2 linked regions of the Sus scrofa genome follow. The protein of the gene in region 1 interacts with the protein of each later gene in a biochemical or structural test. Links are inferred from orthologs where the notes say so. Each region holds a gene or a part of one and is shown on either strand. Other genes may lie near its edges. The genes, in order: AREG and S100A4.

Region 1 (4,434 bases):
AATACCTCCCTGCATAAAAATAAAACAGGTGGATGACATAAAATACGCTCTCAACAAATGTCCAGTAGGTGAGAAGACGTGATTTGTGACTGTTTATTTTATCCTACTAAACATATCAGGCTATTTAGCCTACTTTACTATGATACACCATTAAAAATAGATTTAAAATTTTATTTTAAAAATAAACTTTTAAAAAATTTCCCAGAATTAGGACAGAGGCACTGTGACCCGCATTCCTAAAAGAGCTGTTTTACTGGAATAGTCACAGAAGAGATATGTATCTTCAGGACAAAGAAACACTAGGAGAATAATGCTTTTTTCCTCTTCCTCAAGTCAAGAAAAATCCAGTTCTGGAATTGTAGATACATCAAACTTAGTCAAATGAAGCAATTCTCTCCCTCTCATTTTATCTACTTGTCATGATTAAAATGTCCTACTAGATTCTAAATAGGCACTAAAATCTGGCCCTTTTATCTGGGGATTGCAGAGGCAAACTCTTGGGCACTACCCTTCATGCCAACACACTACCAGTAGAGATTACTCCTGTAGGCTAACTATTGTTCTCCCCAGAAACTTTCTTTCCAAAGAGAAGTTTAGCCTAAATCCCTTTATCAGAGAGGAAAGAGATTTTAGAGTCAGTGGAACTCGAAGTTAGGTCCATCTGGCTTTTGCCATGACCAGCGGGGTAAAGTACTCCTTGCTTGGTAAAGCTGACAGGTGTCCCTCTTGTAAAACATAGAAAAAAATGATACTTGCCTAGCAAGGTTCTGGAGTGACCTGGTGTAGGTAATATGCTTAGTGTACAGTTCCACAACATAAATTAATGATCAATAAACTATCATTTTGACAAGGACCCTAGGTTATATAAAGAAATGGGATAAATGGGGAGGGAGATGATTGGAAATGCAGGCTGCTTCACAGTAGTGGAGGGGAATCTCCAGGGTTGAGATCCAGGCCCATGGTATACAAAACAGCTTCTCCTTAGGAGGCATGGCTCTCTAGTCATGGAATAAACGTCATTATTCGCATTAAAGACATGGGGTGGGGCTTTCCTTGTTAAGTCACTCTTGGGCTTTAAGTAATTTTATATTTTAATAGGAAATTTTCTAGTTAATCCCTGTCTGTTGTAATATTCAGATCAACCAAAGCATAATCTGAAGGTTTTTTTTTTTTTTTCCTCCAGATAGTTTGAAAATTTGGGATTTCTGAATGTCAGATATTAGCTTGCAACTCCACCCTTGCTCTCAAATAAGAATTGGTCTTTTTTTTTTTTTCCCCAGCCGGCAGCAAGGGTCTTCATTTTCACTTCCTCCCAGCGGCTCTCTGCGCTCCGAGGAGGTGGGGCGCCTGGCATCCGTTTGTGGTTTTGGGGTAGTAACCTGTCCTGGGGCGGCCGCCCGCCTCCACCCTCCGCGGCGACCGTGACGTCACGGGCGATGCCCGGGTCCCGCCCGGCCTATAAAGCCACTGGTGCGCGCCGCGCCTCCGGAATGTTCGCACACCTTGTGCGGGAGCCGGAGCCCAGGGAATCCCGAGGCGAGCTCCAGGCGCTGCCTCCAGCGCCCGAGCCCGGCCGGGCCTCTGAGCACAGCTGCTCGGCGCCCCTGGTCCCCGGTCACCTCCTCCCGCCCGCCCGCAGCTCCCGGCCGAGTTGCCCCAGAGACCGCGACGCCACAGCTCCGCGGGACCAATGAGAGCTCCGCTGCTGCCGCCGGCGCCCGTGGTGCTGTCACTCTTGATCCTCTGCTCAGGTGAGGACATCCCGGCTCTGAGCTGCTGAGCACTTCTCCCAGCCGGGGCAAAACGGTCGCTCCTTGAATTTTGCTGCTGATTCTCTAAAAAATCGCCATTTGGCGGCCCTGGTTCTGTCTGGTGGGAGGTGACCTTGGTCCCTCCCTCTGTACGTTACTCCCTGGGAGTGGGCAGGTGTATCTTAGATGTTCCAGGCCATCAAGAGGGGGCCGGAAACTCCTTGTACTTTTACTTTAGTCCAGCTGAAGGATCTCCTGCTTAGAGAGCCTGTGAGCCAACCCTTCGCTTGACCGATAAAGAAACCAACCGACGTCCAGAGGTGAAGTGATTTCCACAGATTTTGGAGTAGAGTAGTTAAATCCTGGAAGGAGACGCGCAGCCTTCTGCCTCGATTCTCCATCTCCTCTGTCAAGTACTTTTGTTTTTTCCCTTTCTAGAGGGTTTCGCATCGTCCCAGAGAGAAGTTAAAAGCACCACTTTGACACTGTTTTGTTTAGATCTAAAAGATAAAGCAGGGACTTGAAACTCTGGCCCCCAAATCTTAACTTCATCTCTAGTTTCTTCTCTTTGTGAGAACAGTAATAAACAGTGGCAATAAGGAGAATTATAATCAATTTCTATTTTCATTACTTTTTAACATTTCCTGTACATAGTCTTCTTAAACGTGAGCATATGTTAAGAAAACCCGGTATTTATTTCTAGAACCTGTTTATTAAAATAGGACAGGTAGCATCCTAACAAACACAAATGCATTTCATATGTGAAGTCATGGCAATGTTTAGATATTACCTGTTAAATAAGTGTAGCAACTTGATTTACCTCTTCTGCAGTATTTTGTTTCTTTCTTTCTTTCTTTCTTTTTTTTTTTTTTGATGTGGGAATTAATGTACATTCTCTATGGAAATGAAAACCTTAATGAAAGAAGCTCTGTCATTGGAACAGCTGAGTTTGCTTCTTGGCAAAAATGTGAAGTTGCTTTCATAAAGTGACTCAATCATAAACAATAGCACATGTGCAATAACTGCTTTGCTATCAAAAGATAAACATTTCTCCTGCGCGCTGCTCCTGCGCTCTGCTGACTGGGGAGAAAAGACATTCTGCTTTATCTTCTCTTCCATTTTGCCCTTGTTCCCATAGCCCATTATGCTGCTGGACTGGACGTCAACGGCACCTCCTCTGGGAAAGGAGAACCATTTTCTGGGGACCATGGTGCTGAGGCATTTGAGGTGACCTCCAGAAGTGAGATGTCCTCGGGAAGTGAGGCTCCCCCTGCTAGCGAAATGCCTTCTGGTAGCGACTATGACTATGCTGAAGAGTACGATAACGAACCGCACATATCTGGCTATATTGTAGATGATTCAGTCAGAGGTGAGTAGAGGGTAAGGTGACAATGTAGCCAGTGAGATGTGTGTTTGTATAAGACAAGCTGCTTCAAAAGAAAAGCACTCCCCGATCTCCTAGTGGCTTTCTTGCCCTCTCTTTCCTGATCCACTGGCTAAATTGAGATGGAAAGAGCTATTCGTGGCCACATCCTATATGTCTGCAGCTCTAACAAACGTTTTATGTCTAGGAAGGCTAATCTTTGCAAAACATTATTCAGTGGGAGTTGTTATCCATTTACAGACGTGAGAACCGAAGCTCAGAAAGGTTAAGCATTCTTCCCAGTGTTCCAGAGCCAGGATGAGGACTCCAGTCTGTTTGATTCCAGATACTATGCTCTTTCATACCCTGCCACGTGACCCTCAAATGAGGGTCCAGTCCTATCTATGTTGTATCTCAAGTTTTATATTCACTCCCCTCCACCGTTTCCCCCCAAATAACTGCATTTTTAGCACAAATAAGGGAACAGAAGTAATGGGAAAGGAACGATTGGACCTTAGCCTTTAAGGATAAGGTGTTGCGAAATTGGTAATAATAATAGTCATACCACCTTCTGGAAATAATAAAAGAAGGACAAGTATGCGTGGATTATGTATTGATAGAATCACTCTTTAATCCCAAATCCCATTTGTCAGTTAAATAATGTGACCCATAGTTTTCTTCTCTTTGGCTGTTATCTGATCATTTTAAAAAAGCATTTGCTTAAAAGGAAGTTACCAAAGGAAGAGGTCAGTCTTGTTACCCTCATGTTACTTTGGAGTTTGAGGGCAGAACAGGTCATCAGCAAATCAGATCTAAGTATCCTAGGAGCCTCCACTACATAGGCAAGACTTACAGCCCTCTCTTTCCTGATCTTAGTTTCCATGGCTCCTCCTCCTCTCTCTGGCTCCCAGAACTGGTGAAGGGAGAGAGGGTGATACCATAGGGACAGTGACTGGAGGAAGAGGCAGGTGGAGAGAGTTTTACTGAATACTCCATGTTATCTGCCTTTGGAGCTTATGCTCTTCTATAAGGTGAGGAAGGAGTCTGTCTATAATTCTTATTTTGGGAAGGGAGGAGATTAGACCATCAAGACTTAGAAATGGTTCTCTTAAAGCTATTTCAAGTTGTTAACATTTCAAAAGGCCAAACACATTGTTGGTAGTGAAAATGGCTAGGGCTTAACGTTCCAACGCATTGTGAAACAGTGAAAATTAACCAATGGGATTAATGTCTATTGTAACACTTTAGCGTAGTAAGTATTTGTCTCTATAATTTGTAATGTATCTGATAAAGCGCTGTAATATTGATGTAAAATATTTC
Region 2 (4,032 bases), on another chromosome or scaffold:
CTTCCTTCCAGACACCCCCAGCTCCTGTCCTGGGCTTCACTCAGGAGGGTGGAGAGCCCTTTGGGGAGTGGAAGGGCAGTCTGAGCTGTCCCTAGCACTGAGCGTGGGGTCCCCTCCCCGTGTTGGGCAGCCACATGCCAGGGCACTTTCCCACCACCCCTAGTCCCCTTTCCTCTGTTCTGGCTTCCCCAGAGACCACCGGCACCCCAGGCCCCAGGCACTGACTGCCCCTTCCTCCAGCTCCCTAAAACTCAAGTGTCCACCCCACAGAGGCCCCTCCCTGTGCCCACTGGGGCTCTCCCATGGTCCCCCCGCCTCCCCGTGCCCGCCCTGGGCAGGAAGCTGGGTTTCCAGGCTGGGCTGGTGGAGGGGGCCGGCAGCGTTTACCGCATCTGACCACGATAGGAGGGAGGGCTGTCTCCTGCTCTCCCCCAGCCCCTGCATGGGCAGGGCCCCGCCAGGGTATAAATAGGTCAGGCTGCTGGGCTTCCCCACTCTTCCTCTCGCCCCAACCCTCTCTCCTCTGCGCTTCCTCTCTCTTGGCCTAGTGAGTTGTGGTCGGCCTGGTGAGTTGTGGTTGCCTGACTGGCACACGAGGGGGGGTCAGGCTGAGGCTCGGTGCAGGAGAAGCAGAGGCTGGTGGGCACCAGATGTGCTAAGTGGGTCGGGATATGAGATTCTGATGGGAAGGCTCTTGGGTGGTGTGTGTGTGTGTTTGTGCGTGCGTGTGTGTGCACGTGCATGTGCATGCCAGAGAGACGCAAAAATTAAAAGTAAGAGCGAGGAGCAGGTGGCTGATGGGAGCTGTCGCAGCGGTACTGGGATGCTGGGGCTTGCCTGTGTGGTGGCTGTAGTAGGTTTTGGGATGCTTGTGACCGGTGGGTGTGCACATTGGCTCATGTTTGCTGCGTTGCACAAGCCAGTGTATGCACACTCGGGCATGGGAAGCACAGTGAAGGCAGTAGGCGATGGCAGGCTTTTGTTTCCTTGTGTCCTGGGAGCTTCTGCCCTGCACACAGCAGCCCAGCTCAAGGGAGGGTGGCCTCCCCATCCCTCCCCTGCATCCGCGTGCGCCTCTGCCACCTCATCCTGCCCCTCCCTATGCAGTGCCGGGCCGCTGGTTTTTTCCGCTACAGGCCCCTGGGCAGATCTCCAGCAGTGTCGCCCAACCCAGCGCTGTGAGAGAGAGAATGGGCCAGGGTGGGGCTGCTGGGGGCTGAGCCTGGGAGTGAAGGGCCCGAGGGAGGAGGGGTGGAGAAAGGCTCTGGTTAAACGGACTGCCTGCAACCCGGAACCTGCCATCCTGGCCCGCAGGTGTTCACTGCCCCAAGCACGAACTTCCCAAGTGTGCACAGCCACCCCGCCAGGAGCCGAGCCCCACCTTTCAGGGCTCCCTCTTGGGTGGAAGCAGAGTCTCTCCAAGGGCTCCCTGAGGGATGGAGGTGGGGGCATTCTGAATACATAGCTGGGGGCAGGGTTGGGGGGGGGGATAAGGATGTCTCTGTGATCCTGCCCCCAGATCCTGACTGCTGCCATGGCCTACCCCCTGGAGAAGGCCCTCGATGTGATGGTGTCCACCTTCCACAAGTACTCAGGCAAGGAGGGTGACAAGTTCAAGCTCAACAAGTCTGAGCTAAAGGAGTTGCTGACCCGGGAGCTGCCCAGCTTCCTGGGGGTGAGTGATGCTGAGTGGGGCGGAGCGGGGTGGTCTTCAGGACTTCAGGAGCATCAGCAACCGGGGCCTCTCTGGCTGACATGGGCAAGTGGGGGCAGAGAGCTTGCTCTGGCTGCCTAGTGAGCACCCACTGCTCACTTCCTGGCCCCCAGCCGAAAGAGGCACAATGGACCTGGAGGGAAGCTGAAGCTCAGAGATACTAAGTCACTTCCCTAAGTAGTTCGTGTATAAAGCTGAGATCCATGAATCATGATGGTCTGACTCTTGCCATCAATCCAGCTATGAGCCATTTTTAAAAATAAACACTCTATCAAAGTTTCTTTCTTTCCCTCCCTTCCTTCTTTCCTTCCTTCCTTCCTTCCTTCCTTCTTTCTTTCTTTCCTTCTTCCCTTCTTTCTTTCTTCCCTTCTTTCTCTGACCGCACCTGCAGCATGCAGAAGTTCCTAGGCCAGGGATGGAACCTGCGCCACAGCTGTAACCAGAGCCACAGCAGTGACAAGGCTGGATCCTTAACCTGTTGAGCCATGAGGGAACTCTGCCACCTTCTTTTTAAAACTGATGTGTAGTTGATTTTCAACGCTGTGTTAGTTTCAGGTATACAGCAAAATAATTCAGTTGTACATACATGCATATTTTTTCAGATTCTTTTCCATTATAGGTTATGACAAGATATTGCATATAGTTCCCTGTGCTATAGAGTAAATCCCTGTTGCCTTTCCTGTTTCATATATAAAAGTATATATTTGTTAATGCCATACTCCTAATTTGACCCTCTCCCCTATAAACCATTTTTGAGTTTCTCTTTGGCTTGTGAATGTGAAGATACACACATACCTACAGACACACCCCAGCGTAATCACAGTTACCATCTGTATCAACCTTTGTACAATTTATGCATTGCTTTCATGACCACTGTCTAACTGGAGTCTTTTTTTTTTTTTTTTTTTTTTTTTTTTGGTCTTTTTGTCTTTTTGCCATTTCTTGGGCTGCTCCCACGGCATATGGAGGTTCCCAGGCTAGGGGTCGAATTGGAGCCATAGCCACCAGCCTACACCAGAGCCTCAGCAACGCGGGATCCAAGCCGTGTCTGAAACCTATACCACAGGTCACGGCAAAGCTGGATCCTTAACCCACTGAGCAAAGTCAGGGATCGAACCTGCACCCTCATGGTTCCTAGTCGGATTGGTTAACCACTGAGCCATGACGGGAACTCTTCTAACCAGATTCTTAAAATGACCTTGGCAGACGATGTTGTAGTCCCCTTTTCCAGGGGCTTCCAGGTACCCAGACTTCCTCATCTGAAGGGCAGATCTCCTCCACGCCCTCGCCTAGCCCTGAGGGCTGGAGGTTCAAAGCTCCCCCCGGACCCACAGCCTGCCTGTGCCTTCCTGAGGTCCCATCTGGAGCTAGTCTCAGCTCTGCTCCCCCTGCCCCCACCCTGCCCCTCCTGCTTCCAGTTTCTACCCGCAGCCTCTTCCCCCTGCAGAAAAGGACGGATGAAGCTGCTTTCCAGAAGCTGATGAGCAACCTGGACAGCAACAGGGACAACGAGGTGGACTTCCAGGAGTACTGCGTCTTCCTGTCCTGCATCGCCATGATGTGCAACGAGTTTTTTGAAGGCTTCCCTGATAAGCAGCCCCGGAAGAAGTGAGGGCTCCTCGGATGTGGGTGGGGGCCCTGCCAGCTGGGAGGGGGTCTTCCCTGACAGAAAGGGCACAGTGCCTCACCGTGGCTCTTCCTGACCTGATCAAGTTCAATAAAGATTCTGAAAGCTATAAGACTGATGGTCTGAGAGGGTGGGATGGGGCCTGAGGGATATGGGGGGTGTGTGGGTGGGAGGGGTACTGGCAGGTTTGCTGCTGTTTTGTGAAGAGTGGAGAGCAGACTGGTGAAGGTGGGAGAGGGATGCGTGACCGTGCATGGGTATGTGGGACAGACTTGACTCAGGATGGGGCTGAAGGCAGGGAAAGGGACCCCAGAGGCTTGGACCGCCCCAGCTGTAGGATCTCGGCCAGGGCACTCACCCATCCCATCTCCCCAACGTTGCCTCCAGCAGGACCGCAGACTGAAGCTGGGATGGGATGGAAGGTCACATCTGTTCTTGGTTGGGGTCTGGGAAGGAGTGTGGGCGCCCTGGGGATGGTGGGGGAAGGGCTGAGTCACGGGGAGGAAGTCGTGAGGCCAGAAGGGGGAGGGGGAGGAGGGCTCGGACCTGACATTGACAGCCCAGGCCCTGCCTAGCCACCCCTTCCAGCACCTTGGCTTCAAACCCCAGGGATGGATGAATCCTTCTTGTCCACATTCAGATGAGGGAGGTGATGCAGGGGGTGAGCAGGCTGTTGGCTGCAGCATGAGAC

The links.
Region 2: the proteins of AREG (region 1) and S100A4 form a complex in vitro, tested with the Homo sapiens proteins (2 studies listed by IntAct, with this or other methods). The link is inferred for Sus scrofa from reciprocal best matches to the Homo sapiens genes AREG and S100A4.

The regions. Positions count from the first base shown.
Region 1 is NC_010450.4:70,416,434-70,420,867, forward strand, and holds the start of AREG (amphiregulin precursor), read left to right. Parts: upstream 1-1,501; 5' UTR 1,502-1,690; coding exon 1,691-1,751; intron 1,752-2,889; coding exon 2,890-3,120; intron 3,121-4,434.
Region 2 is NC_010446.5:96,087,708-96,091,739, forward strand, and holds S100A4 (protein S100-A4), read left to right. Parts: upstream 1-1,534; coding exon 1,535-1,675; intron 1,676-3,161; coding exon 3,162-3,326; downstream 3,327-4,032. UniProt on the Homo sapiens protein: Calcium-binding protein that plays a role in various cellular processes including motility, angiogenesis, cell differentiation, apoptosis, and autophagy.